7 linked regions of the Oryctolagus cuniculus genome follow. The protein of the gene in region 1 interacts with the protein of each later gene in a biochemical or structural test. Links are inferred from orthologs where the notes say so. Each region holds a gene or a part of one and is shown on either strand. Other genes may lie near its edges. The genes, in order: RB1, CDK6, CDK9, MYOD1, UBTF, E2F2 and CDK14.

Region 1 (3,791 bases):
GTTCAATGCTTTTTGGGCTCCTAGATAGCAGCAGGATGGGGGCTGGTCACCAGAAACACCAAGCCTTGACTTGGCACTTTCAGTGACACACCCATAACCTTCAGGGAGGGGTGAGGGGCTAGAGACCCTGTTTATCAATTATACCTATATAATCAAACCCCATAAAAATTCCTCAACAACAAGGTTGAGAAAGTATTGGAGTCAGTGAATTCCACAGGGACAGAAGCTCCTGTGTGAGGGACCCTGCTGCACCCAGTCCCATATTTTTCTTCATCTGGCTATTGGTTTTTTATCATTTATAATAACTTAGGATAAGTAAAGTATTTTTCAGAGTTTTGTGAGCCACTCTAGCAAATGACCAAACACAAAAGGTGAGAAAGGTATTATGGAAACCTCAATTTTAACCAAGCTGGATGGGCCTGACCCCTGTGATTGACTTCTGAAGTGAGGACAGTCTTGTGGTATCAAGCTCTTGAACCTGGAAACTGATATTAACTCTAATTAAGAACTGTCAGAATTGAATTGAATTGAATTGTAGGACACCCATGGGATTGGCAATGTGGCACAGCAGGTACAGTTGCTGCCTGTGACATGGCACCCCATGTGGGAACTGGTTGGAGTCCTGGCTGTTCCACTTCCCAACCAGCACCCTGCTAATGTGCCTCAGTAAACAGCAGAGGATATGAAACCCAGATGGAATTCCAGGCTTCTGGTTTCAGCCTGACACAGCCCTAGATGTTGCAGCCATTTGGAGAGTGAACCAGCAGATGGAAGACAATTTCTTTCCTGCTCAGTCTCTTCTTTTTATAACCCTTTCAAATAAATAAATAACCTTACAAAAATGTAGGACAATATTTTATGACCAGAGAATTGGAGGATTGGCATGAGAACAAAACCTCACATTTGGTGTCAGAAGTATGATTTGTTAAACCATCTCACAGATACATTCATGTATACACATGAATGTCTGTATAGGTATTATATAATCTTGAAGGAATGCCTAAGCACCATTTTGAAGTTCACCAATTATGAGTATGATTTATATCTATTACTTATTTAAAAGTAAAACTATATACTTAGAAGATACACATGCAAAATGCCTAGATGAATATCTGAATAATAGAATAATAATAGAATAACAGAATTTATCAGTTCAAATTATAGAAATATTTTATTCCTTATGGTTATGGTATATGCCATTATGTCTCATAGACAGAAAATTACTCACCCCAAAAGATTCACCAATTGATACTAAGATTCTGTCAAGTGAAGATGAAATACAAATTAATAATGGAAACCATACAGTATTGCACAGAGATGAACACAGACACATCATTCTGAACTATCAGCAATTCTAAATCAAAGGCTTCCTTTACTCTAGATCCTCTGACAAACTATATTCATTAGGGGCTTATTCTAACAGTGCTAGTCTAATCAAACACTCAGCTGGCCTCTTAGGTTTTTACAGAGAGAACTGAGAGTCTACAAGAACATATTCTGCCAAAGCTCACATTTAAAGAGGGTAAAAGATGGTTTAAAGTTTACCCTTATTTGGTTCTCAATGGGTAAGTTATAAAATTTCTTTCACATTTCCTCATTTAAAGTTCAAGTTATATCTGCCAAAACTTACAGTACTAAGTAATTATCAGAATTCTAATTAGTATTTATATTGTATATAGTAAAGGCTATTTATCAGATACCCTAGAATCAGAGATAGTTATTAGTGTCTTTGTTTGAACTATACAATTTATATTCTTATAATAAAGCTGAAGAACATATTTAGCCTCACATAACTCAATAGCTTTGAAAATATGAACATGGAACTAGAAGACCCATAGATGTTATTGTCTTCTAACTCCTTGACAAATAGTCATCGTTACACACACACATACTTGATTAACTACAATATGTAAATATGCTGGATAAATAGTGCTCAGATCCTTTCTTAATGCCTGATTAATGACTTACCAGTTAGGCTTTTCACAATATGACTTTTTTTTTTTTTTGGTAAAGAATACCAACAGAGAATTGATTTCACTAGGATCAGCAAACAGCCTCTATTATTACCATAAAATGGATTAATTATCATTATTTTAAAAACCACCTGCATGTACATCTTCATGTGATGGCATGGAACTGTGTAAATTTATTTAAATAAACATGGCATGGCATCCTAACAGCATATACATTAAAAATATCACTGTGTAGATATCTAACTGTAAGGATACCAAGTAACTAAAGAATGGAGCACAGAAGAGCATTTGGAGCATATTACCATTTTTTTTTTTACTTCATAGTTTTCTGTAGAGTTTAAAATTTTCTGGAGATGTATTACTTGCATTTTCTGAAAGGCTAATTAATGTAGCTCCTTATCCTTATTTGTTTTTCTTGCCCATTAGGTGCCAACTATATGGGCTGACAATTTTTAAGGTGAGACTACATTAATTATACTAGTTAATCTGCCTCCCACTTTAGACAAATAAAGTCAGTTTCAACTAGCCCATGATAACATATAATTAGTCAATTGAAGCACTTCAAAGCCAGAGAGTACTTGTGCTTGGATGTGGAAGATAATATAATGATTTGTAGTTGCACATAACCTTTCATCTGAGAATTTAAAAAAGCTTTACACATCATTTCCCTGGTCCACAGACCCTTCTGAAGTAGAGACAGAGACCTGCCCACAGTAATACAAGGAGGCCAAGGCAGAATTAGGGATGCATCCTAAATACTTAATTGACAGTCATCTACATTTAGTAAGTCGTCCCCAATTTTATAATAAGCAAAATGAGTAAGGTATAAAAGGAGTTTACAGGGCATTCAATAAATTACAGACTAAAAATTTTTAAAACTAATGTAACCTACTTTGTTCAGCAGATTGGCTACTTACAAAAATATGAAAGTGCTTTGAAACATATAACCAAATCGGGTCTCAAGCTGTTTACAAAATGAGAGACCCCAATAGCCAGGAAAGCTGATGAGTAAATTTGCAAACAAGCAAATTTTTCTTTTCCTCCAAATTCTTATAATGTCACTCAATATAAACAAGCAATTGAGACTCAAGAGTTTAGTTTATTTTTAAAACAAAGAAATCTTTATGGTTTTATGCCTGGATCAAAATACTCCCTCATTATTTTCCATATCCCTAAAGAGAAAACACAAACCTTGATCTTGGAGTCATTTTTGTTGGTGTTGGCAAACCTTCTGAAATTTTATATGGACTCTTCAGGGGTGATATATAGATATTCCCCCCAGGAATCCGTAAGGGCGAACTAGAAAATTTGTAAGGGCTTCGAGGAATGTGAGGTATTGGTGACAAGGTAGGGGGCTAGAGCAAAACAAAAAAGCGTATTATTTAATGTGTTAGTGGCATTCACTACAATTACATTTTCCCAATGAAAGAATACTTTGTACATACCCTGGTGGAAGCATACTGCAAAATATTTGTTTTCAGCCTCTGCATGAAGACCGAGTTGTAGAATACTATAATGGAGTCATATTCTTCTTCTCTTATCAAAACACGTTTGAATGTCTGAGGAAGAATAACAGACACTTGCTGAATGAACTTAGGAATTCCTCTCTTTAGGCTTAATTTTATGTATTTTGTAATTTTCTTTACCTAGTGAGAAACATCTATTATATAGGAGAAAATAACCTGAAAAAGTCTTCTTAGTGTGTAGCTGCTCTAAGAGAAGCAAAAGACCACAGAATGATCCAGAAAAGCAGCAGGTAGCAGAGCAAAAAGGAGCAAAAGCAAACAATTTAACCTATCAATATTGAAACCACGTGGG
Region 2 (4,305 bases), on another chromosome or scaffold:
GCCTGGGCCTGGGACACATCAAGAATAGGTAAGCAAGAACTTCCAATCCTTGTCTCTGTGCATGCAGGCTGTGTCAGTGCCAGCAGCAACAAGTCAGCGCTCCTGGCAAGTCCATCAAAATTAAATCTTAAACTTTTGGAAAAAAAAAAACTAATATGTTTATTATGCTCCTTCAAGCTTAGAGGCTTAACTATCTGCGGGGAGGGCCTGTAATTACGATCAATTACTTATGACTTGGAGGCACTTATAATGGCATCTGCCCTTTTAAGAAACATTTAAAGAACCAAGCATCAGCCTGTAAAGCTGATCCTGGGGGCAGCAACAAATCACAGGCTTGGGGTCAAACTGACAACTCTCTCTCTCCCTCTCCGCAGAGAAGAACTGCCGTCACCTGTCCTTGATTTCCTGACTCTGCCTGAACAGAGTAGCCACCTCTGAAATCCGTTACTGCTCAGTGTGCTCAGTGTGGCGATCATGGGAGCCAGTGGTCGTCCCAAGGCAGCGGTGGAAGAAGAAACAGGAAGGAAATGAAACAGGAAGAGAGATCTGTAGCTCGTGAGGGTGACATCATCAATAATTTCCTCAAGTGTCACTGAGCTTCATGGCATATGACTGACAGCCTTTGTGGACAAACTACAGGCTCACTGTACTCAAGTAGCCCCTGTGGCTCCGAAGCCTGTAATCTAAGGGTATGAATATGATTTGTTCTTGGAAAAAAAAATAAAAAGGCCAGGTGCACTGATGCCTGCTGGGAACCTGTTCTGGGCAAGCGCGTCCCACTAATCTTCAGGAACACAATGTGTAGACACCTGAAGTGCTTCTAGATGCACAAAGTGTTTTCACACATGGCGTCTCACTTGACCCTCACCAACTACCAACTCCAAGGGGTGGGTGGCACCGCACCGCTCAACAGGCAAAGACAGTCTTAGAAAAAGGTGTCTTCTGATTCGTTAAGTAAATCCTCCTGACATTTGCAGTGCAGAATCTCAGTTGTGGCTCAGTGAGAGATCTCTGAAGACACACCAGCCTCAGCAGGTTTCACCCCGCGGGTGGGACGGAGGGGCCCCAGCGCGGCAGCACGGGGCGCGAGCTCTCCTCCGTCAGGAGAGCGAGTCCTGCCTCGTTAACAACAGTGGTAGTACCACCAGCGTGCCTCTGTAACACCCCCATGCTGGAAGGTCAGATGTGGCAGCTGCCTGGGATGGGACAAAACCAGAAATCTTGGTCTCAAAATTCTACTGGTGAAGTCACCCTTTGGAAGGGCTTAGGCGACACCCTAGGGAAAGTACTAAGTTAGAGGGAGCTAACTGTCCCCTCTACGCCCACTCTGATACCAACAAACACACCCTCCAGGGGTATTTTGTTTTTTTGTTTGTTTGTTTGTTTAGTTTTTTCAAAAACACGGAGAAAAGGTAACCTGTCGCTTTAATATGTAAGCCCACCTCCCAAAACACTCTCCCAGTCTCTTTATCTTCGACCTCCACCCTTGACAAGCTGATGGAGAGGTATAATGGAGTCCTATCTTTACAGTCATTTACTACCTTATTTATGTATTTATGATTCTCTGCTGCCTTCCAGCCTGAGTCTTCACTGTCTTGGGAACAAAACACTACACCAATCACCCAGCCTAGGGTAAGAAGAGGCAGGTCAGAACCTCCCACGGAGACTGCAGGCACCCGGTCTCCCTGAGCCTGTCCAGGGTTTGGTATTTCAGGTCATTCTCGGGTCGCTCCGTTTTGATGAGTAATGTTAAACTGTTTGACTTTTCACAAAAATATTTAGCCATGCTTATTTACATCACTTCATCCGCAGCGCACGCAGCAGGCACGTAAGTGTTGAGCACAATGCCTCGCGGAAGGAGGGTCTGGGACCTCCTTCTCCCAACGCGTGAGGAGTCCACAACCCGCTCTGCCTCCGTGCATGCCTTTGTGACCTGAAGCCATGCAGCTCCTCTGTTTAAAAACAAGATGACACAAACGCACACACAGTCAACTGCGCAAAGGGGCGATTCCAGGATCACCAAGAACCCACCATTCCCCTAAGTCTCACTCACACACACACACACAGTTTCATTTAATATCTTTAATACCGGTCACAGCACAGCAGAGACTTCAGGGACTGACTGCGTACCCCACTCCTGCCAGTCACCCAGGAAAAGCAAGGACAAAGAGCACTGAGAATCTAAAGCCACCACACCTTGGACACCCATCCCTTGGCAGCGGTGGTCCAGGGGCTATGCCAGCCCAGAGAGAAGTGGCACGGACAAGAAGGATGACAGCTCTGGGACGATGCTGTCTGCCACTGGGCGACTCCCCGGATCATCAGTAAGCCATTCTCATTGTGCAACTTTAATACAGAGAAACTGGGTGTGATTAGCAAACATATTCTTATCCGTTTCTGCATTTTTAAAGACCTCATTTGTGCAAGGCTCCACCCTAGAAGTTTTCTCCTCGCTTATCACACGGACAACCTGCTCCCTCTCCTTTGCAGTCGCAAGAAAGAAAGAGAGAGAGAGAGAGAGAGAGAGAGAGAGAGAGAGAAAGAGAAAGAAAGAAAGAAAGAAAGAAAGAAAGAAAGAAAGAAAGAAAGAAAGAAAGAAAGAAAGAAAGATCCCCCGAAGCCGGGAAACGCAAGCAGCAGTGGTCTCAGGTCTGTTGGTTCTGCCCCCAAGGCCTCCCCCGCAAGGCCCTCGGGGCGGTCGGGGAGAAAACACCGGCGGCACGGCGCCGGCGAAGCCCGCACCTCCCCGGGCCCCCGACGGCGCGGACCCCAGGGCTCACCTGACCACGTTGGGGTGCTCGAAGGTCTCCAGGTGCCTCAGCACCGCCACCTCGCGGATGGTGGAGAGCGGCATGCCTTCCTCGCCCGTCTGCACCCGCACGCGCTTCAGCGCTACGAACCGGCCTCCGTTCTTGAGGTCGCGGGCCTTGAACACCTTCCCGTAGGCGCCCTCCCCGATCTCCGCCACGCACTCGTACTGCTGGTCGGCGCGGCTCAGGCCGTCCTTCTCCATGCCGCCTGCACGCCGCGGCTCCCCGGAGCTCGGTCCCGCTCTCCTCGGCCCCGCCGGCTCCGGCGCGGGCTGGCGCAACCCTGGTGCCGCCGCGGCGAAACTCCGCCTGCCGAGCCGCCGGGGAGCGAGCCGAGCCCTCCTCTTCCCTCCCCGAAGCGAAGTCCTCCGCACCGACACCGAGGCGATCACATAGTCTCCACCCGAGCGCGTCTCGGTCCGGGGTCTTTGCGACTGAAACGGGGGACAGGAGAGAGGACGACAAGTCAGACCGCCCGGGAGCCTTCCTCGGGGTTCCTGCAGCCTCCCCTCCTCCACGGCGCCCCCACGCGCGCCCGGCCCTCTCCCGCGCCGCCCAAGCCTGCCTGGCTCCTCCCGAGCAAAGCGAGGTCACTTTCTCTCCCCGCAGGGCTGCAGCCGTCTGCGCGCGGCGAGGCTGCAGGGGCCCCTCGGGGATGAGCGCGCCGCGCGGGACGCAGGGCAACGGGAGGGGGCGTGCCGAGCGGCCCGGAGTGTGCCGGGAGCGCGGGGGAGGGGAGGCGCCGGGCGCGTCAATGTCACGGCTCCGCGCGGATCCCTCGCGCGCCGCGCCGCCCGGGGGCCTGGACGCGGGTGGGGGCTCCCGGGACCCCGGAGCCCGCGGCCGGGCAGGGTGCGAGAAGGGGTCGTCACGCATCTGCTCGGAAATTGCTTCCTTTCTTTTTCTACTTTCAGTTTTTCTAAGGGGGAGACCTTTAAAGACGCGGCGCACACGTACGTGGTCTCGCCGGGGGCCGAGGCGCCTCGGCCGGGAACGCAATCCTGCCTCCGACTCCGAGGGACCTCCCTGGTGGAAACCCCGGGAGAATCAGCCATCTGGTCGGGGCGGGCTGGGCTGCGCCGGGGTGGGCGAGCCGGAGGCCCTGGAAGGGGCAGCCCCACGTGGGATGCCGAGGGTGGGGGCGAGGGGCGTCCGCCTCCGGGACTCAGCGCGGGGAGGAAGACACCAGGACCGCCGACTCGCCCCGAAGTTTCCAGCCCAGGTCAACCTGAGCCGAACGCTACCTCCCCAGAGGGTGGTGGGGGCGGGGGGCGTCGACGCTGCGCCTCCCGGGCCGAGGGGGAAGGGGCTGCGCCCCCCGGAGCCTGCCCTCGCCACCCTTTCCCCAACCCGCGAGGCCGTCCGCGGCGCCGTGGCCCCCCGGCTCCCGGGAGCCCGGGTCCCGCGTGCAGCCGGGGGCCGGAGCCCTCCGCACAACAAAGCCCCGGAGGGGGTGCCCTCACTTTCCCGTCTCCTCTCAGCCGCCCTCCGCCGC
Region 3 (2,799 bases), on another chromosome or scaffold:
TGCACGCAGACTCTCCCTCCTCCGTGTCGCCCTGACCCGTTACCCCCAGCCACCTCCCCAGACCCCTGCAGCCCTTCAACCCGCTGGTACTCCCTCCTCCTCGCTCCCCAGGCCCCTCCAGCCGGGGCCCTGGGAGAGGACCTCACGTTACACGTCCGATCGTCACTCCGTGATTAACAGCCTTACAGTGGGCTGGCTGCCCCGGGCTAGGCCACCACCTGCACATCTGGGCTCCCATGGGAGCCCTGGCTTCACTACAGTCCAGCTCCCTGTAACCGCGCCTGGGGACAGCGGCGGCAGCCCCGGTGCTGGGGCCCTGCACCCACAGGGAGGAGCACGGAGTTCTCCTGGCTTTCGCCTGGCCCAGCCCCAGCTGCTGAGGCCGTTTGGGGAGTGACCCAGCAGACAGACCTGCCTCCCCCCCCAATTCTCTCAAATAAACAAACACTTTGAAAGGTCTGAAGTGACGCCGTGCCCGAGTCAGGCTGCAGCGGACTGTGAGGGCAGCAGCTCAGGCCCGCCTGGGTCAACACTGCGCCGCGGCTCCCGGGAGCCCCCGCCTCCGAGAACTCGCGCACAGGACCAGCAGCCCCCCAGCACCCGCTTCTTGGAGAGCATCGCGCCACGTGTACTGAGAGGACGGGAAAGGCCCAGAGCCTCCTGCGGCTGTGTCCGGAACAGCACCAGGACCCCGGGACCCGACAGCTGGGGTCTGGGTGCAGAAAACATACAGCCACCAGGTGGAAAAAAAAAAAAGCCAACTTTTAATTGTAACTAACCAAACTGCACGCAGGAACGTCCCTCAACTCAACCACGCAACCCGATAAAACACTCCTGCTCCCGCCAGCCCCAGGGCTCCCGGGGGGCGCCGGAGCACACTGTCCCAAGGCCAGCCGCTCGTCCCGAGGCGGGGTGAGCGAGGGACCGTCCCCTCCTCCCATCATGCTGGGAGCCCCTCCTCCCAGCCTGTCCCCGCCTCAGGCACGGAGACCCCCGGGCACCGTCCAGAAAGCCAGGGCCGGGGCGGCCACCCCCTGCCCTCCTAGCCGGGCAGCCATGCTTCCCTCCAGTCCAGCCGGCTGGGCATCCCGGCGCCCCGGGCAGGGAATAAATAAAACGCGCACTAGAGAGCCGCGCCGGCCGCGGGCTCCGCAGCGCGAGTCACAGCGGGGGGCGCGGCCTCAGAAGACGCGCTCGAACTCCGTCTGGTTGGTGGTGGTGGGGTTGCGGCTCTGGTTGGTCGCCTGCTGGGTGATCTGGCTGCCCTTCCGGCGCGGGGGCGCCAGGTACTCGAACATGGACGTCAGGTGGGTGGACAGCATGCCCTTGAGGTCCGACGGCATGGGGTCGGACCAGAAGAAGTCGTGGTTGAGGGCGTCGTCGCTGTCGATGCGCTGGGCGGGGTCCAGCACCAGCAGCTTGTCGATGAGGTCCAGCGCGTAGGGGTCGCGCACGTACGCCTTGAGCCTGTCCTTGACCTTCCGCTTCTGGCCCTTCACCAGGTCCAGCTTCTCGAACAGCTCATACTTGTCCACGTTCGGCCACACCTGCGAGGGGCGGGGAGGGAGGCCGTCGGGTGGGCGTGCGGCCTGGCCGCTGGTCAGCACCCAAAGGGATTCCAACAGCAGCTCCACACGGGTGCTCTGGGAGCGCCCCGGGATGGGGACCCGACCCCTTCACGTGGCATCAGAGGCATCGGCCACGAAACAGTTGGTGCCAGAGCCCATGCGGCTCCAAGAGGCAGGCCCCGCCCCTCTGCAGCCTCTCGACCCATCACTCCTCCAAGGCTCCTGTCCGTCAGTCCTCCCAGGCCCCCGTCCGCCAGTCCTCCCAGGCCCCCCGTCCGCCAGTCCTCCAGGCCCCCGTCCGTCATTCCTCCCAGGCCCCCGTCCGTCATTCCTCCCAGGCCCCCGTCCGCCAGTCCTCCCAGGCCCCCTGTCCGTCAGTCCTCCCAGGCCCCCTGTCCGCCAGTCCTCCCAGGCCCCCTGTCCGCCAGTCCTCCCAGGCCCCCTGGCCGTCACTCCTCCCAGGCCCCCGTCCGTCACTCCTCCCGGCGCCCGGCAGCTCGGCCACGCACGCACCTCAGGAGTGATGGAGCCGCAGAGCTGGCTGATGAGCGCGAGCTGGTGCTGCTCTGTGTTCCCCTGCATGATGGGGCTGCGGGTCCACATCTCCGCCATGATGCACCCGGCACCCCACAGGTCGATGGGGGGGCCGTAGTCCCGCTCCCCTGGGAACAAGAGCGCAGCAGGGGGCCCCTTGAGCCGTGGCCCCGGGAGGCTCGGAGCCCCGGGGCAGGTGGTTCAAGAAGCCCAGGCAGGTGCCTGGCCCCTGCCCAGCCTCAGCCTGCTCCAGGGCCTCACCCAGCAGCAGCTCCGGGGGCCGGTACCAGAGCGTCACCACGCGGTTGGTGTAGCGGTTGGGCTGGCTGTTCTTGGCCAGGCTGAAGGCCCGGGCCAGCCCGAAGTCGGCCAGCTTGAGGACCCCGTCCCGGGTGATGAGCACGTTGGCAGCCTTCATGTCCCTGTGCAGGATCTGCAGAGCAGAGCGCTCAGCGGGGGGGCCCCCCCGCGGCCCCCGCCCCGCCCACCTTGTTCCTGTGGATGTAGTAGAGGGCGTTCAGCGGCCCCCCCCGCGGCCCCGCCCCCGCCCACCTTGTTCCTGTGGGTGTAGTAGAGGGCGCTCAGCGGCCCCCCCGCGGCCCCGCCCCCTCCCGCCCCCGCCCCGCCCACCTTGTTCCTGTGGATGTAGTAGAGCCCGTTCAGCGGCCCCCCCCGCGGCCCCGCCCCGCCCCCGCCC
Region 4 (4,045 bases), on another chromosome or scaffold:
GGCTGCCTGCTCCTTCTGCTTCCAGCCTCTCCAGGATGCCTGCAAGGGAGCAACACGGCTGAGGCTTCTGCAGGAGCCGAGCCTGGGGATTGCTTGGGCACCTTCCGGGGCTTTGTGCCCCAGGGGAGGGCTAGGGAGCCCACTGGGCACACTGCTGCAGCTGGTGCTCAGGACAGAGCAGGCCCTCTGACTACCATGGCCCTGCACCTCGGACCGAGGACTTCTGCATCCTTGATCTCTCCAGCTTCTCAGCACTAAGCAACTGCCCCAAGAAAGTCCTCCTATCCCCATATTGAAGCAAACGGCAACTGAGGCTGGGGAAGGAGGTGTGGCTTCCACAGAATCACACAGCTGGGAAACTGGGGATTTGGGTCCCCCCTGGTGGGCAAATGCCATTCTCAAAGAGTTCTCAGGCCAGGTCCCCGCCTCGAGGATCTCTGCGAAAGGCATTTCCCGGGTCTGCGGGGGGTCTGGAGCAGACGCAAGCCCTGCGCAAAGGGAGTTCACTTCCCAGCCCAGGAGGCTCTCAGCCTAGCCCCAGGGACACCCGGCGTCAAGGGCGAGGGTGGGCTGGGCGTGAGTCCACCTCACTGCCTGCAGACCCCGCACGACCCGAGTTCGGAGAGAGGGGCTAGATTAAGCTCCAGCAGCGAGATCCACGCCCGAATAGACGCAGCTGGGTTTCTCAGCGTTCAGGAAAGACGAGCAGGGCCCGCGCAGCCCTCTGAGTGACTCTCAGGACAGGGACAGGGACTGGCCGAGTGGCTCTGCCCCCGCGTCCGGTGCGTCTCTGCCTGGCCCCTCCGTCTCTGGGCCTCTTTGGTGGTGGTGGTGGGGTCTCGCCTTTGCACCACCTCAGCCCTAATTGTGTCTCTGCCCCATTACTTTGCATCTCTCTCAAATCTCTCCTGATCTCATTTCTGCCCCGGCTCTGCTCCTGGTTTCCGCACAAATACGGGACCGAGTAAGAGCCAAACTCCGCCCGGAGGGAAGTGAGCGCCCAGGGCCAGCGTTTCCCGCGAACACAGGAGTCGCGTGTTGGAAAGGGTGTGCCTAGGAGCCAAGCGCAGCGGGTCAGGCTGCCAGTCTGCCGCGCTCCCTGCTCCGGGAGGGACCGGAGTGCGCGCGCGCGCGCTGGTGTCCACGGGCGGGAGGGGGGCCACTCTCTCGCCCTGGCGGCCACCCCGAGGACCCAGAGCTCCGCCCTCCTCTGTTCCTATTGGCCTCGTGCTCCCCCGCCCCCGCCCCCTCAACCGGCTTGGGCTCCCGGGGCGCTTAGGCTACTACGGATAAATAGCCCGGGGCGCCTGGCACTAAGCTAGGGCCGGGGAAGCCCCAGGGCACTGCCGCCGCTCTGCTCGCCGCAGGTCCAGCTGGCCAGGACGCGGCGGGGTGGCGGACAGTCGGGTGTGCCCTCAGACCCCCGGCACTCTGCCATCGCACGGCTGGGGTTCCCCAGCGACAGAAAGTTCCGGGCAACCCCTGCCGCCCGGGTTGGTGAGGCCGGGCCCGCGCCGCCCTGCGCTGGGACATGGAGCTGCTGTCGCCGCCGCTCCGAGACGTGGACTTGACGGGCCCCGACGGCTCCCTCTGCTCCTTTGCCGCAGCGGACGACTTCTATGACGACCCGTGTTTCGACTCCTCGGATCTGCGCTTCTTCGAGGACCTGGATCCGCGCCTGGTGCACGTGGGCGCGCTCCTGAAGCCCGAGGAGCACACGCATTTCCCCGCCGCCGTGCACCAGGCCCCGGGCGCGCGCGAGGACGAGCATGTGCGCGCGCCCAGCGGGCACCACCAGGCCGGCCGCTGCCTGCTGTGGGCCTGCAAGGCGTGCAAGCGCAAGACCACCAACGCTGACCGGCGCAAGGCCGCCACCATGCGCGAGCGGCGCCGCCTGAGCAAAGTGAACGAGGCCTTCGAGACGCTCAAGCGCTGCACGTCCAGCAACCCCAACCAGCGGCTGCCCAAGGTGGAGATCCTGCGCAACGCCATCCGCTACATCGAGGGCCTGCAGGCTCTGCTGCGCGCCCAGGACGCCGCGGGCCCTGGCGCCACCGCCTTCTACGCGCCCGGCCCACTGCCCCCAGGCCGCGGCGGCGAGCACTACAGCGGCGACTCGGACGCGTCTAGCCCGCGTTCCAACTGCTCCGACGGCATGGTAAGGCCTGGACGCCAGGCGGAAGGAGGGGAGGCAGCCCTGGGGCGTGGGGGTGGGGGAAGGAGTGGGTGGGTCTGGAGCCTTTCCCGAGGGCGGGGAGCTGGCCCTCGCGACAGGCATGGGCGGACAGGGGCCCGACCCAGAAGTGGACTCGCGTGGCTCCGGCGGCTGTCGCTGAGGTAGCCTAGGGCTTTGGAAGCACGCAGGACGGGTACAGTCGGCACGGCTGGGACGCTGTTACAAAACTTGTTGAGGGATCTGCTCCTTTCCTCCATGGATCCCTGTTTCCAAAATGCAGATCTGAGTCCTGCCTCGTTTGGCTCTGGACTCTGCGGTGCGCGGCTCCTGTCCACCCAGGACAGATCCGGGACCAGAAGCCCTCGGCTGAGTCTCGGGGAGCTGGGGAGGGGGTTGCTCCTGGGAGTGGCGCTCCGGTCCCGCGGGCCTGACGCGGTCCCCCCAACCCTTTGCAGATGGACTACAGCGGCCCCCCGAGCGGCGCGCGGCGGCGGAACTGCTACGACGGCGCCTACTACAGCCAGGCGCCCAGCGGTGCGTATCCCGCGCCTCCTCCATGTCCCTCTCCCAGCCGCCCTGGCTTCCCTCCACCTAGGACCCCCCCAACCCCGCCCCACATAGCCTGGCAATGGTGCGGGGGATGAAGCCCTGGCGGGTCGCGTGCCCTGCCGTCGTCCCGCACCCTCGCTGGATGGTTTCAGACTCCCGCAAGTCCTCCGAAGCACAAGGGGGCTCAGGGGTGGAGGAGGTAGCCGCGGCTCCACCCCTGCTCACTCCCCTGCCCTCCCCGCGCAGAACCCAGGCCCGGGAAGAGTGCCGCCGTGTCCAGCCTTGACTGCCTGTCCAGCATCGTGGAGCGCATCTCCACGGAGAGCCCCGCTGCGCCCGCGCTCCTGCTGGCGGACGCGCCACCGGAGTCGCCCCCTCGCCAGCAGGAGGCGGCCGCCGAGAGCGAGGGCGAGCGCGGAGCACCCACGCCGGCCCCGGACACCGCCCCGCGGTGCCCTGCGACCGCAAACCCCAACCCCATCTACCAGGTGCTCTGAAGGGGAGGGCTGCCTCGTGCAAGGGCGCCGCTGCCTACGCGCCCGAGGGACGGAGCCCCTGGGGTTCCTTCGTGCCCCCAAGATTGAGCTTAAAGCGACCCTCCGCCCCCTCCTCCGCGGTGGCAGAGACGGGGGGAACCCGGTCCCCGGCCCCAGGGCGAGCTCACGGTGGGTGTCTTCCACGCCGCGCCTGCCCTGGCCGCTGGGCGATCGCCGGCAAGCCGGGGCTGATCCTTCCGCTTCCTCGACGCCTCCCCAGTAGGGGGAACTGGATCGCCGCGGACCCAAGCCCGGCCCCGCCCCACCTCCGTAGCTACATCCTTTCAAGCTCCTCCCATCGCACCTGCGGGATGCGCGCCAGTCCCGCAGGTAACCCACCCCAACCCCGCCCTCCGGTTCAGGACCACTTTTTATAATACTTTTTTGTAATCTATTCCTGTAAATAAGAGTTGCTTTGCCAGAGCAGGAGCCCCGAGGGCTGTATTTATCTCTGACGCATGGTGTGCGGTGCAACGGCGACTTTCTATGTTTATACGGCAGGCGGGCGAGCCGCGGGCGCTCGCTCAGGTGTTCGAAATAAAGACGCTAATTTATGCCGCGGTGGCTCCGGCTTTCCCCGGGCTCGGGGGCGGGATCCGGAGGAAAACCCGCGAGCTGGGCCAGCTGTCTCGCAGCGACCCCTACAGGCGACAGGCAGATTGCAAGGAGGAAGACCGCTCAGGGTCGAGGGAGTGGGGATGCCTCCAGAACACACACTGGGGTTTCTCTGAGTTTGATCTGCATCACACGCAAGGCGGTGGCTCTCATGGAAGCGTGCACATCA
Region 5 (4,297 bases), on another chromosome or scaffold:
GGCCAAGGGCAAATTCCCTGGTGTGCTGGCCCACAGCCCAAGTCCTCGGCTCCTGACCGCACCAGAGCTGTGATGGGTGCGACCCAAGCCAGTCGCTCTCCAAATGGGAAGGGCGCCAGCAGTTCTGCTGCCCAAGGAATCAATAACAAGCATTCTTATGATTCACGTTCATCCTGCTTTATTCCGAAGCACTTTACCGAAAAGCCCCTTGACCCAGCCAAGAAGTTCAGGGCCAGGAGCCAAGACACCTGGACTCCAGACCTGCGTGTGGCAGATCTGGAACCTTCTTGGGGGTCTAGGTTTCTCCCATTGACCCTCGGATGCCTGGTGAGGCTGCTGTTGTCATTCCACAGATACGGAAACTAGGATCAGGTGGGGTTAAAACTTGCCCAAACACTCACACTATTAAAAAAAAAAGTTAGGACTTTTGATCCCAAAGCCTTTGTCAGAAATAGCAACTGGTTCCATGCCCCGATTTCGGTGCAGCCTGAGATGGCTTGATCCTGCATAAAATGTCCCCAGAGTGAATCAAAGGCAGATCAAGTGTGAGGGCCTGCAGGTGAACTGTGGAGGTCGGAGTGCTCTTTAACCAAAAAAATAAAAAAGAACCAACTACGGGATGCAAAGTCAAGTCCAAGGTCTTGCACAGGCCTTAAAGCTTCAACTTCATTCGCATGATGGTCAGTCTGCATCTTCCTCATGTCCTGCCCGCTAAAAACCCAGACACACCAGATCCCGGCGGCGCCCTCCTCCCGAGGCGAGAACCGTGGCAGGAGTCTTGGGAAAGGAATCTCATCTCTCCCAGGAGGCAGGAGGAATTACCGCGGCGGAGAGCCCGTGCGAGGAGGGAGGGAGGCTGCGCGCCAGCCAAGAGCCCACAGGGGCCCGGGGACGCAGCGGAACAAGACGCGGGCAGCGGCGGGGCCGGGGTGGGAGCCAGGCGTCATGGCGCTGTCCCGGACGAAGGGCCAAGCCGTGGGCCGGCCTGCCGCAAGCCAGCGCCCTCGGCTGTCCGCGGGCTCCCTGCGTCCTGCCCTGAGAACACTTCCCCGGAGCTAAGAAGGCAAAGTCGGACAACCCCGGCGCCGGCAGCGGAGGCCGAGGCCGGACGCTCTGCGCGGCCCGCGCGGCCCGGGTGCCGGGCGCCCCTCGCGGCTCCCCACCGCCGCCGGGGGGCAGCGCCCGCGGCCTGCTTTCCCCGGGCTGGTCGAGCCTTTTTGACAAGCTGATTGCGTGGCGGGGATTGGCTGGTCCGGGCGTGACGCCGGTAACAACAAAGGTGGAGTTGGAAGAAATTAGATTAAGGGAGAGGAGGAAAAAAAAAATTAAAGGGGGAGCTGGCAGGGGACAGGCGGCGGCGAGCGAGGGGGAGATGCGCGCGGCGCGGCCTCCGGTACCGACTGGGCCCCCGGAAGCCTCTCCGCGTAAGCCCGCCGGGACCTGGCTCTCGCTTCCCACCCCGGCCCACTTCCGAAGCCGGGTAGGAGAGACGGCTGCTGCTGCTTTGGAAACCTCCCAGCTCCCACCCTGCCACCCCTCACGACGACCCGAGGGGAGAACTTTTTGCTCGGACTCCACGTATCCTCAGCCCGGCGAAGGTGGGGGGGCGCTGGGAAGGAGGCTCGCTCCAAACCCGGGACGGCCCCGCGGGGCTCGGAGGTCGGGCGAGGAGCGCTGCCGCTCCGGTCTTCCGAGATGGCTCATCTAAGAGCTTCTTTCTGTCTTTTCTTTCTTTTTTTTTTTTTATAACACCCCCCCCCCTTTACTTCCCCCTCGCTTTGGCTTCAGGGTTGCAAAAGCAAAGAGCAATAAAAAAAAAAAAAAAAAAAGGAAAGAAAAAAGAAAAAGAAAAACCGCGCACACACTCAGACACACGCCAGTGGCGACAGGGGAGAGTTGGAAAGGCGCAGGAGAGAAGCAGGAGGCGGGCGGCGGCGGGGCCGGAGCCTTGGGAGCGGGGAGCGGGCAGGTTCCCTCGCAAAACCCCCTCCGCCCCACGGCGCCTCGCCGGCCCCGGCAGGGGAGCGAGGAGCCGGGCGAGCAGATGGAGGAGTGGAGCTCGCTCTAGGCAGCGGGCTTGGCCGGAGAATGGAGGAGCCGCCAAGCGACCGGCTGATTGGAAGAGAAACGCAGAGCGATGGAGGCGGGGGTAGGAGGACGATTTCTCTGCGGGGACTGGCGGCGGCGTACACGCCCGGGTCGGGCGCTGCAGAGCTTGGCTGGCTTTCAACCCGCGCTCGCCGGCTCCAGCCCCGCGCGCCCCCACCCCCGGCCCTCCCGGCGGCTCCGCAGGTGAGTGCGAGCTGGGGGCAAAAAGACCCAAAGTCTCCGCACTCCCGCCCTGCAAAAAAAAAAAAAAAAAAAAAAGAGGAAAAAAATTTTTTTCCTTTTTTTCCCCCCAATTTTCGCGCAGCCCCGAGAGCGGTGGGAGGGAAGGGGTGAGGCTGAGCCACCCGGAGGAGGCGGAGGGGCCAGGCGAGGCCGCGGTGGCCCGGGAGGCGGCGGCGCCGAGGCGGCTCTGACGGGCGAGCGCTCGGAGCGGCGCTGCGCTGCGCCGAGGCGGGCGGGCGGAGCGGGGCGGGCGGAGCGCGGCGCGTGGGGCTCGCCATTAGCCGTCGCTCCGCTTCGCCATCTCGGGCTTTGTCTGGCGACTCGCTGCCCCGGAGTCGGCTGCGGCGGAGCTGCGGCTCGGCTCTCCGGCCCGCCGCGCCCCCAGGTGTCCCCGGCCCGCGCTCCCATCCACACGCTCGGTAAGTGAGCCCCGGCGCCACGGATTTCGGGGGAGAGGGGTTGCTCCGAGCGGCCGCGCCGCCGATCTCCATGCGCCCAGGCAGGCCTGGGGAGCCATGCCGGGCTGGATTGAACCGGCTCCCACCGTGGCTCCTCGCCGCTTCCTGGGTGTAAGGAGCGAAGGGAATTTCTTTTTCCCCCTTGGCAAGGATATTTTGCTTTTCGAGTTTCGCGTGTGCCGTTCGGCGGCGAAGTAGGCGCCGAAGCTTGGCACCGCGATCGGCACCCCGAGCGAGTAGCCACGCTCTGGGGAAGGTGGGCGCGAACCGCCCGCGCCGGGAGGCGGGAGAGGGCCGGCTTGGAAGGCCGGATCTGGGCTGGGAGGCCGTGGAGGAGAGGTCCGGGGCTGCACTGCGGGCACCCCCGAGCCTCTTCGGCCGCCGGGGGGCCCTCCGGGCACCCTCTCCGCGGCCGCGCCTCGGCCCTCCCTCCCGCGCCGGCCGAGCCTGCTAGTTCCCCCGCGGGTCTGGCGAGGTCGCTCTCGGCGCCCGCCCGCCCGCCCGCCTCGGCTCCGAGCCCCGCCGCCATCCGGGCGGCTGCGTGTCTCCCTGCCCCGGCCCCCCCCCCTCCCCGGCGGCAGCAGCAGCAGCAGCCGCCGCCGCCGCCACCGCCACCACCACCACCACTACCACCACCCCCCTCCCCTCCTTCCTTCCCTCCGCCTCGGCCGCCCGGGTCCCCCCAGCTCCCGCCCCTCCTCCCAGCTGCCCCCCGCGGAGCCCGCCCGGGCAGGCTGTGGGAGGGAGCGGAGCCGGCGAGGCGGGCGGGCTGGCGCTCGCTCCCCGGGGGTCGGTGTGCGCTCTACGGGGAAGGACGCGCTCGCTGCCCCGCTTCTCCCGCCCCCCCTCCCGCTCCTCCTCCTCCCTTCTCCCTCCTCCTCCCCGCTCCGGCGGCGGAGGCTGCGGCGGCGGCGGGGGGTGTGCGAGCTGAGGCCGGGGCCGGCGGGCGGGCGGCGGGCGGGCTGCCTGCAGGCGGAGGGCGCTGTGCTTTGTGCTTTTCGCCGCGAGGAGCAGCAGGCAGCAGCTACAGCCGCCGCCGCCACAGCAGCAGCAGCAGCCGCCGCCCCAGCGCCGCCACCGCGCCCGGAGGAGGAGCCGCTGCCGCCGCGGGAGGGAGCTGCGGCTGTGCCCGGCCGAGCGGGGGAGGGCGCCGCCGCTCAGAGCCGGGGAGGGAGCCGCCGGAGCGGGAAGCCCGGAGGTCGCGCTGCGCCGGGTAACCGAGGCGGCTGAGGGCGCGCGCTGGGGGTCGGGGCCGGGGCGGCCAGGGAGAGACCCGCGGGAGCGGCGGACACCCCGGCGCAGACCCGGGGCGGCCTCCGAGCAGGGTCTGGACGCGAGCAGACCGGGGCACTGGGGAGGACGCCGGGGGAGGGGAAGGCAGGAAGCGAGGCCCGAGCCGAGCCCCGGCCTCGGGCGGAGGAGCCCGCGCTTCTCCCAGCCGGCAGGCGCAGTTCTCGCCGGCCGCCGGAGGGGGCGGCGGGGCCGGTGAGCGCTGCGCCCCCGCCTCC
Region 6 (3,791 bases), on another chromosome or scaffold:
CAGAGAAACCAGCAGCAGAGACGTTCTCAGGCCAGTGCCCGGTCCGCGCCATCCTTTCCAGCCTTCGCTGTTTCTGGCCAGCTTGGACATCACCATTATTGCCACGGACAGCGGCACGGACATCCCAGGGAAGCTTGGCACGGGCAGTGCCAGGGCAGCGCGCACAGAGCGGCCCAGGACCCTGCCCCAGGGGCTCCTGCTCTCACCTCGGTCTTGTCAGGCACTTCCAGTCTCGTCTGCGGCGGCGCCTTCACGGCAATCACCGTCTGCTCCTTGAAGTTGCCGACAGCACGGATGTCCTGGTACGTCACGTAGGCCAGCGTAGGGGCAGAGTCAAGAAAAGTGAGCGCTGGGCAAAGTGCAGACCCCAGATGCCAGGCGGGGCCCAAGCCTCTGACTCCCGCTTTCTCACACTGCTTAGAAATAACTCAGAACTGTAACCTCTTCTTTGAATGTCATAAGCTCCTTTGGATACTTTTAGACAGCCCAAGGAGGTGTGCATCATTTTCAAATGCTGCCCATGGGTCCAGTGCTGTGGCGTAGTGGGCTAAGCCTCCGCCTGCGGTGCCAGCAACACGTATGGGCACCGGATTGAGTCTCGGCTGCTCCACTTCCCATCCGGCTCTCTGCTAATGTGTCTAGGAAAGCACTGGAAGATGGCCCAAGTGCTTGGGCCTCTGCACCTGCGTGGGAGACCCGGAAGTAGCTCCTGGCTTTGGATCATCCCAGCTCCGGCCATGGTGGCCATTTGGGGAGTAAACCAGCAGATGGAAAATCTTTCTCTCTGTCTCTCCCTCTGTCTGTAATTCTACCTCTTAAATAAATTAATTAAAAATCTTTAAAATATGCTGCCTTATATCAATTTTTTATGTAAAGGCTTCCTCTCAAAAAGATCTTAGCTCTGAGAAGACAGGAAGATTTGCTTCTTTATATTTCTCACAATGCCTAACATCCTTCCAAAAATACCAGGCTAGATCCAAAAGCCAATTAGATGTGAAACCATTTGGGAAAATGCACAAACCATGCTCTCTGACCTCATTGCTTGCATCCCAGGAATCTGATTTAGGGAAATAAGTGACAATAAGGGGGCAATGTCCAACACACAAAGATATTCACCTCTATGAAAGCAGAAACCTAGACTTGTTCCACATACTCATTCTATAAGACAATCTGAAGTCAGTTTATAGACAGGTGAAAAAGAGATTGAGTCATGTGAAGTTGCTTTCTCACGGGTACGTCGTGATTGCATACTGGCATTTTCCTGTGGATATGTAATGGCAAATACAAACGTCTACAGTATTAATTGGAGAAGAACAGAACAAAAAATGCAATGTGCAGCAGGGTCCCCGAGCCTCGTAAGGAAGCGATGATGTGTTAGGCTGGCAGCCCACGGCTTCTTTTTTGTTCTATATTTTGCAGATTTAAAGAAATATACTTGGGGCTGGTGCTGTGGGGTAGCAAGTAAAGCTGCTGCCTGCAGTGCCAGCATCCCATATGGGCACCAGTTCGAGTCCCAGCTGCTCTACTTCTGATCCGGCTCTCTGCTATGGCCTGGGAAAGCAGTAGAAGACGGCCCAGGTCCTTGGAATTCTTCACTTGCATGGGAGACCCGGAAGAAGCTCCTGGCTTCAGATCGGTGCAGCTCCACCTGTTGCAGCCATCTGAGGAGTGAACCAGTAGATGGAAGACCAACCTCTCTCTCTCTGTCTCTCTCTACTTCTGCCTCTCTGTAACTGTGCTTTTCAAATAAATAAAAATAACCTTAAAAAAAAAGAAAGAAAAAGAGAAGTGTGCTTGTCTCAGGGCCACCACTGTGGTGTAGCAGGTAAAGCTGCTGCCTGCAGTGCCAGCATCCATAACAGGTACTGGTTCAAGTCCCAGCTGCTCCACTTCCAATCCAGCTCCCTGCTAATGCACCTGGGAAAGCAGCAGAAGATGGCTCATGTCCTTGGGCTCCTGCACCCACATGGGAGACCCAGAAGAAGCTCCGGCCATTGTGGTCATTTGGGGAGTGAACCAGGGGATGGAAGACCTCTCTCTCTCTCTCTCTCTCTCTCTCCCTCTCTCCCTCTCTCTCTCTCTGTAACTCTGTCTTTTAAAAATTTAATAAATCTTTAAAAAATGTATTTGTCCCATTTTGAATCATGAAAAGGTAACTCTAACAGGCTTGAGAGGAAAAACCACGGAGAAAGAGACAGATGGCCAGAGCCCTGGGAGGCGGTGGGACAGAAGCACACGCAGGCCCTGCGCCGGCCCCTCCACAGCACAGGATATCTCTGGTTGGCCTTGTCCTCGGTCAGGTCCTTTAAGCTCAGAGAGCAGCCCTGGATGAGCTGGTCCAAGGCCTGCTCCGTGCTCGTCAGCTCCTTCAGCTCCTGCCTCAGCTGCTGCTGCGTCCCGGGCCGGGTGGGGTCTTCAAACATTCCCCTGCCTCTGGGAACAGAGCAGCCCCCCACCGCCAGTGTCAGTGTCAATCCACACCCAGAGTCCCACCCCCAACCCCAGGGCTGCAGAGAAGGTAGGGGTGAAGCTCCAGGTCAAGGCCAGGTCAAGGTGCATGATGGTGGCCCCGGGGTGTGTACATCACATGGTCACCATCACTCTCAGGGATTGGAACTGGAAGTCGAGGCCCGAACCCCGCTTCTGGGGGGCTCTCCACTCGGTCCATCCCTAATGCCCAGCCTCCCCCAAAGGGCAGGGGACCACAGTGACCCCAGTCCTGAGTCCCTTGCCTGGGTTCTCTCAGGATCCACGCCAGGGACTGTAGGTCTGCTCTTTCAGACCCTGCAGGAGTGGGAAGAGGAGGCCCTGGTCCTCACGTCTCAGAGATGGAGGCTGGGTTAGGCCTTCTCAGCTTCCCGGGACTTCCCTGAGCTAGGAGATGGGGACCTGGGGAGTCCTCACCCAAGAGGAAGGAGCTGGGGTCCTTTTAGGCCTTTGCTTTTCCTGGAGATCATCTCCATCCTGCTTCCCACCTCCTGTTACTCCAGGGAGTGCACCTGCCCTTCCACCCAGCTCTCCAGCAGTGGCTCTGCCCCCAGCCCTGGCCCTGACCCTCACACCCCGGCACCCACATCCCAGGCACTCACACCCTGGCCCTGGCCCTGACCTCACACCCCGGCCCCCACATCCCAGGCACTCACACCCCGGCCCTGGCCCTGGCCCTGACCCTCACACCCCGGCACCCACACCCCGGCCCTGGCCCTGACCCTCACACCCCGGCACTCACACCCTGGCCCTAGCCTTGACCTCACACCCTGGCCCCCACATCCCAGGCACTCACACCCCGGCCCTGGCCCTGACCCTCATACCCCGGCACCCACACTCCGGCCCTGGCCCTGACCCTCATACCCCGGCACCCACACCCCGGCCCTGGCCCTGGCCCTGACCCTCACACCCCGGCACCCACACCCCGGCCCTGGCCCTGACCCTCACACCCCGGCACCCACACCCCGGCCCCCACATCCCAGGCACTCACACCCCGGCCCTGGCCCTGACCTCACAGCCAGGGGCTCTCTCCGCCCCGGCCCCGCCCACCGCTGAGCCCCCACAGCCTGGCGGGCACTGGCACCCCAGCCCCGCCCACCACCGGCCCCATGGCCCGCGCGGGCACTCACACCCACTGGACGTGGTTCTTGGCCTTCTTGCGGATGAGCTGGATGCCCTCGAGCACGTTGGTGATGTCGTAGATGCGCCGCTTCTGCACGGCCAGCACCTCCGCCGCCCAGTTCAGGTCCAGGACCCCATCGGCCGACTCACTCAGCAGGTAAATGAACTTCTTGGTGAGCAGC
Region 7 (3,791 bases), on another chromosome or scaffold:
AAGGGGTCTCCTTCATTTGCTGCTGAATGATGCATGTGCCTAGGGCAAGTGTTGGAAGCCCTGTCCTATAATTTACTCTGTGTACATGCCAGAGGGAAGTGCCAGGCTCTGTGTGCCAATGATGTTATCTACAAGGTAACCACTGTACTGAAAGTCTTTGGTTAGAGGTTAGAAAGCTTCTTAACTCGTAGCAGGATTTTCCCACCTGCTTCAGGGTCTTTCATGAGGTAGAATGGCAGCATCTTAAAATGTTAGATGCACTGAGTTATGGAAGCCCTGTGAGATGCCTGTAGAACTTGGCCCCCGTCATGTGCACACCCTCAGCCAAAGCAGCAGTGTGCACATAACCTGTACACACAGGTTAGCATTTCACTTTGCGTTTTGACTTTTAATTCAAGCTAAACATTAATATAAGAAGTTTTGGTAATAACCCATGAACTTCATCTTTTATGAAAGGTGGTGTAGCTTTCTTCCTGTAGTGTAACCATAGCAACTGACAAGGAACAGAGAAAGCAAGCTTTCACACATGCTGGGCTAATTAATCCTGTCCTACGGTTTTCCTTCAGCTTGGGGGTGCAGTTTAATAAATTTTGCATGAGTGAGCATGTTTTGATGCATGAACTGTGTAAATACCTTGTGGTATCTTTACCAAAATTATTTGGGAAAAATGTAGCTCCATACGTACTTCACGGTATTCATTCATCTGTTCAGTCTTTTTTCTTTCTTCCTTCCCTTCTTTGTTTTGGCATTGTTTTAATACTTTGCTACTTTCCTGAACAGTATTGGGATTCATTTGTGTTATTAACCAAATATTTTTAAGATGAAGACCTTTTGTTCATCAATACACAGCACACTTTTCACATGAAACTATTTTAATTGATAAAGTGAAATGATGAGAGAATGTTTCTCAAGTGATGCAGAAGAATGCGTCTTGAAATTGTGGGGCCAGCACTGTGGCAGAGTAGGTTAAGCCTCCACCTGTGGCACCAGCATCTCCCATGTGGGCACCAGGATGAATCTAGCTCTCTGCTTATGGCCTGAAAAAGCAGTGGAAGATGGCCCAAGTGTCTGGGCCCCTGCACCCACATGGGAGACCTGAAAGAAACTCCAGGCTCCTGGCTTCAGCTCCGGCCATTGTGGCCATTTGGGGAGTGAACCAGCAAATGGAAGACCTCTCTCTCTCTCTCTCTCTCTCCTTCTCACTGTCTGTAACTGTAACTCTTAAATAAATCAATCTTTTGTTAAAAAACTATAACAACAGTCTTCATTCTTTGACACTTTACGTGCAAACTCTTATGAAACGGAGTCTTCACACTTTAAAAAGTTACATATTGAAAACCCATTTTCACTGTTGTTTTGTAAAGTTATGTGACTCATTTGAATAAAGTTGGGACGTTCTTTAATTTATATATGTGGGAAGGAGAGAACAATATAGCAAAAGAATTTTTCTGTTTATATTTTCCACAAGTATTAAACCAGTTGAACAAACTCATATTTAGCATTAACATAATTGAACTGAAATTATATACAATTATCTTGATTGCTAGTATTTTCCAGGTTATTTTCAAGGTCTTGGTTTCCCTTTACAAGTGAGAATATCACAGTTTTTTGAAACCAGCGTGGTCATCTGAGCTGTCATAGAAAGCCTGGGATGTTTGCATTCTCACGCCCCTCTGGCCTCACTTTCTGATAACAGGGCCTTGGGAAAACCAAGGGAATCCAGGCTGAATGTTTTTTTGCCTCCCATTTGACTTGACAACAGCACATGGAACAAGTCAGAACCTATTTTCAGGACTTGTATTTTGCTGTTTAGTCTATATGGAAGCTCAGTCATTTGAAGAGCAAAACGTTTTGATGAGATTACCTAAATTCTAGAGGCATTATGCTGTCTTGATGGTCCTGTCTGTTATTAGTTTTGCCTGAGTTGAAGTAAGACGAAACTGCAGAGAAAAAAAGTAAGGGATTATTATGGAAATGTGTTATCAAAATAGGTATTCCACTCGTGTGCTGAAAAAGTAGGGACCATAAAAGTGTATGCATGTGTGTGTTTGGATAATCTGCATGTGCAAATATCGAATACTCATAAATGTTAACCAGTCTATGGCATGACATTACATTTTATAAACTGGCTTTGTAGAATAAAATTGACTGTAACCATAACTAAATTAATAAGACAATTTTTTGTTCACTTTTATTAATTTTTGCATTTACATATAACACAATGGAATACCATAAAAGGAAAAAGTCATTTTCCTAAATACTACAATAAAAATTTAAATGAATATGTCATGGTAGGATCACTATAAAAATGTTTTATGTGCTTGGAATGTCACAATGGTAAATACTTTATATTTGTTTTAAAGAACAAAGCCAGATAGAGAGCTGTCACAAGGAGGTTTTTTTTCTTTTCAAAAATGACATGTGTTGGTTTTATATTTTGAAGAATTTTATTTTCATTACCTCAAACTTGGAAAATCCTTAGAAAATCTTACAAAAATATAAGAAAATTGTATAATCCTAAAGTTGAGAGGTAATCACTGAAGATGTTTAGATATATTTCCTGCCAGTCTTTTTCCTATGCATTAATTTATAGTAACAGAGATAAACTGCATCTATTTTTTTCATTTACTGTCTTACTGTGACCATGCTCTCAGTGTTAAGAAATTTTAAGAAGGCATTTTCCTTCATTGTGTGCAATCTCATCATCTGTGGGTACCACATTTATTTGACTGTTCCTTTGGAAGTGGGTGGTTTTCAATTGATCTTCCCCAGTCAGCATTTCATGGTGATGACCTGATAATGCTCAAATCACAGGCAGCTTTAGAACAGCCCTGTGAGGAAAGTGTCCTGCCATCTTCTTACAGATGAGAAAAATCAAGACCACTGAGAAGTCTTACAATTTGGAGACAGTTTTACTTCCTAAACCTTTCTTTTCTCAAAGTTCTTTGACCAGAGAAGCTTTTCGGATAATACTTACACATTCGTAACTCTCAGAACTAGAGCTCTATGAAGCATACTTTGGAAAACCTCAGGGATTTTAAGCCTCTGTTTTATATCTAATGGCTTATGAACTACTTGTTTACTTAACTGATATCTTATTAGATTTGTGAAACCAGAGTGCTATTATGAAATATAAATAATTTAATGGTTATTAGCATGTATTCAAAAGAGAAACCACCATATGCTCTCCCCAGATTTTCTATTAACTTCAACATTACATTCATGACTCTGAATTGCCATATCGTGTTTGACCTTTCAGAACTGTGAACATTCAGACTTAAAACCCTCGTTCCATTAGTGCCCATTAAACTTGTTTGTGTTTCATGTAACCTACAGGTCTTGCACGAGCAAAGTCCGTCCCCAGCCACACATACTCCAACGAAGTGGTTACCCTGTGGTACAGGCCTCCGGACGTGCTCCTGGGCTCCACAGAATATTCCACCTGCCTTGACATGTGGTGAGAAACGGAAGCTTCACTCTGCCTAGTCTGTCCACTGTGCTTGGTCTGGGTCAAGCCTAGACAAACCTCCTAACAGTCTGAATGAAGATTAATGGTGCGTGGGCAGGAGTGTTTGCCTGGGTGTCACAACACTGCTGCGTTTTTTGAAAACCTGATTGGGAATGCTCTCTAATCAGAGTCTCCTTTGCAGATGGTGTCTGGTAATGGTTCTTGATCGACAGGGGCAGAGACATTTTTCTAACTGTCAGTACTGAGTTTTCTCCCTAGGGGTCTTAGTTTGTGGCTTTATTTCGTAACAAGGTTATCTGTCTATACACACACACATATATAT

Evidence for each region.
Region 2: of the proteins of RB1 (region 1) and CDK6, one has a biochemical effect on the other in vitro, tested with the Homo sapiens proteins (9 studies listed by BioGRID and IntAct). The link is inferred for Oryctolagus cuniculus from reciprocal best matches to the Homo sapiens genes RB1 and CDK6.
Region 3: of the proteins of RB1 (region 1) and CDK9, one has a biochemical effect on the other in vitro, tested with the Homo sapiens proteins (4 studies listed by BioGRID, with this or other methods). The link is inferred for Oryctolagus cuniculus from reciprocal best matches to the Homo sapiens genes RB1 and CDK9.
Region 4: the proteins of RB1 (region 1) and MYOD1 form a complex in vitro, tested with the Homo sapiens proteins (2 studies listed by BioGRID). The link is inferred for Oryctolagus cuniculus from reciprocal best matches to the Homo sapiens genes RB1 and MYOD1.
Region 5: the proteins of RB1 (region 1) and UBTF form a complex in vitro, tested with the Homo sapiens proteins (2 studies listed by BioGRID). The link is inferred for Oryctolagus cuniculus from reciprocal best matches to the Homo sapiens genes RB1 and UBTF.
Region 6: the proteins of RB1 (region 1) and E2F2 form a complex in vitro, tested with the Homo sapiens proteins (2 studies listed by BioGRID and IntAct, with this or other methods). The link is inferred for Oryctolagus cuniculus from reciprocal best matches to the Homo sapiens genes RB1 and E2F2.
Region 7: of the proteins of RB1 (region 1) and CDK14, one has a biochemical effect on the other in vitro, tested with the Homo sapiens proteins (2 studies listed by BioGRID). The link is inferred for Oryctolagus cuniculus from reciprocal best matches to the Homo sapiens genes RB1 and CDK14.

What each region holds. Positions count from the first base shown.
Region 1 is NC_091440.1:67,472,600-67,476,390, reverse strand, and holds part of RB1 (retinoblastoma-associated protein), read right to left. Parts: intron 3,533-3,791; coding exon 3,419-3,532; intron 3,329-3,418; coding exon 3,165-3,328; intron 1,260-3,164; coding exon 1,229-1,259; intron 1-1,228. UniProt on the Homo sapiens protein: Tumor suppressor that is a key regulator of the G1/S transition of the cell cycle. The hypophosphorylated form binds transcription regulators of the E2F family, preventing transcription of E2F-responsive genes.
Region 2 is NC_091447.1:42,947,988-42,952,292, reverse strand, and holds the start of CDK6 (cyclin-dependent kinase 6), read right to left. Parts: upstream 3,014-4,305; coding exon 2,781-3,013; intron 735-2,780; exon of another isoform or gene 375-734; intron 1-374. UniProt on the Homo sapiens protein: Serine/threonine-protein kinase involved in the control of the cell cycle and differentiation; promotes G1/S transition. Phosphorylates pRB/RB1 and NPM1.
Region 3 is NC_091432.1:231,222,045-231,224,843, reverse strand, and holds the end of CDK9 (cyclin-dependent kinase 9), read right to left. Parts: intron 2,536-2,799; coding exon 2,364-2,535; intron 2,231-2,363; coding exon 2,082-2,230; intron 1,548-2,081; coding exon 1,182-1,547; 3' UTR 742-1,181; downstream 1-741. UniProt on the Homo sapiens protein: Protein kinase involved in the regulation of transcription.
Region 4 is NC_091432.1:48,597,234-48,601,278, reverse strand, and holds MYOD1 (myoblast determination protein 1), read left to right. Parts: upstream 1-1,245; 5' UTR 1,246-1,531; coding exon 1,532-2,158; intron 2,159-2,631; coding exon 2,632-2,710; intron 2,711-2,971; coding exon 2,972-3,222; 3' UTR 3,223-3,819; downstream 3,820-4,045. UniProt on the Homo sapiens protein: Acts as a transcriptional activator that promotes transcription of muscle-specific target genes and plays a role in muscle differentiation. Together with MYF5 and MYOG, co-occupies muscle-specific gene promoter core region during myogenesis.
Region 5 is NC_091448.1:19,038,606-19,042,902, forward strand, and holds the start of UBTF (nucleolar transcription factor 1), read left to right. Parts: upstream 1-1,353; 5' UTR 1,354-1,598; intron 1,599-2,162; exon of another isoform or gene 2,163-2,292; intron 2,293-2,611; exon of another isoform or gene 2,612-2,750; intron 2,751-3,813; coding exon of another isoform or gene 3,814-4,297. Other genes in the region: basic salivary proline-rich protein 2-like, read right to left, coding at 3,814-4,297. UniProt on the Homo sapiens protein: Recognizes the ribosomal RNA gene promoter and activates transcription mediated by RNA polymerase I (Pol I) through cooperative interactions with the transcription factor SL1/TIF-IB complex.
Region 6 is NC_091438.1:147,416,321-147,420,111, reverse strand, and holds part of E2F2 (transcription factor E2F2), read right to left. Parts: coding exon 3,618-3,791; intron 2,434-3,617; coding exon 2,275-2,433; intron 322-2,274; coding exon 207-321; intron 1-206. UniProt on the Homo sapiens protein: Transcription activator that binds DNA cooperatively with DP proteins through the E2 recognition site, 5'-TTTC[CG]CGC-3' found in the promoter region of a number of genes whose products are involved in cell cycle regulation or in DNA replication.
Region 7 is NC_091447.1:44,623,624-44,627,414, reverse strand, and holds part of CDK14 (cyclin-dependent kinase 14), read left to right. Parts: intron 1-3,336; coding exon 3,337-3,457; intron 3,458-3,791. UniProt on the Homo sapiens protein: Serine/threonine-protein kinase involved in the control of the eukaryotic cell cycle, whose activity is controlled by an associated cyclin.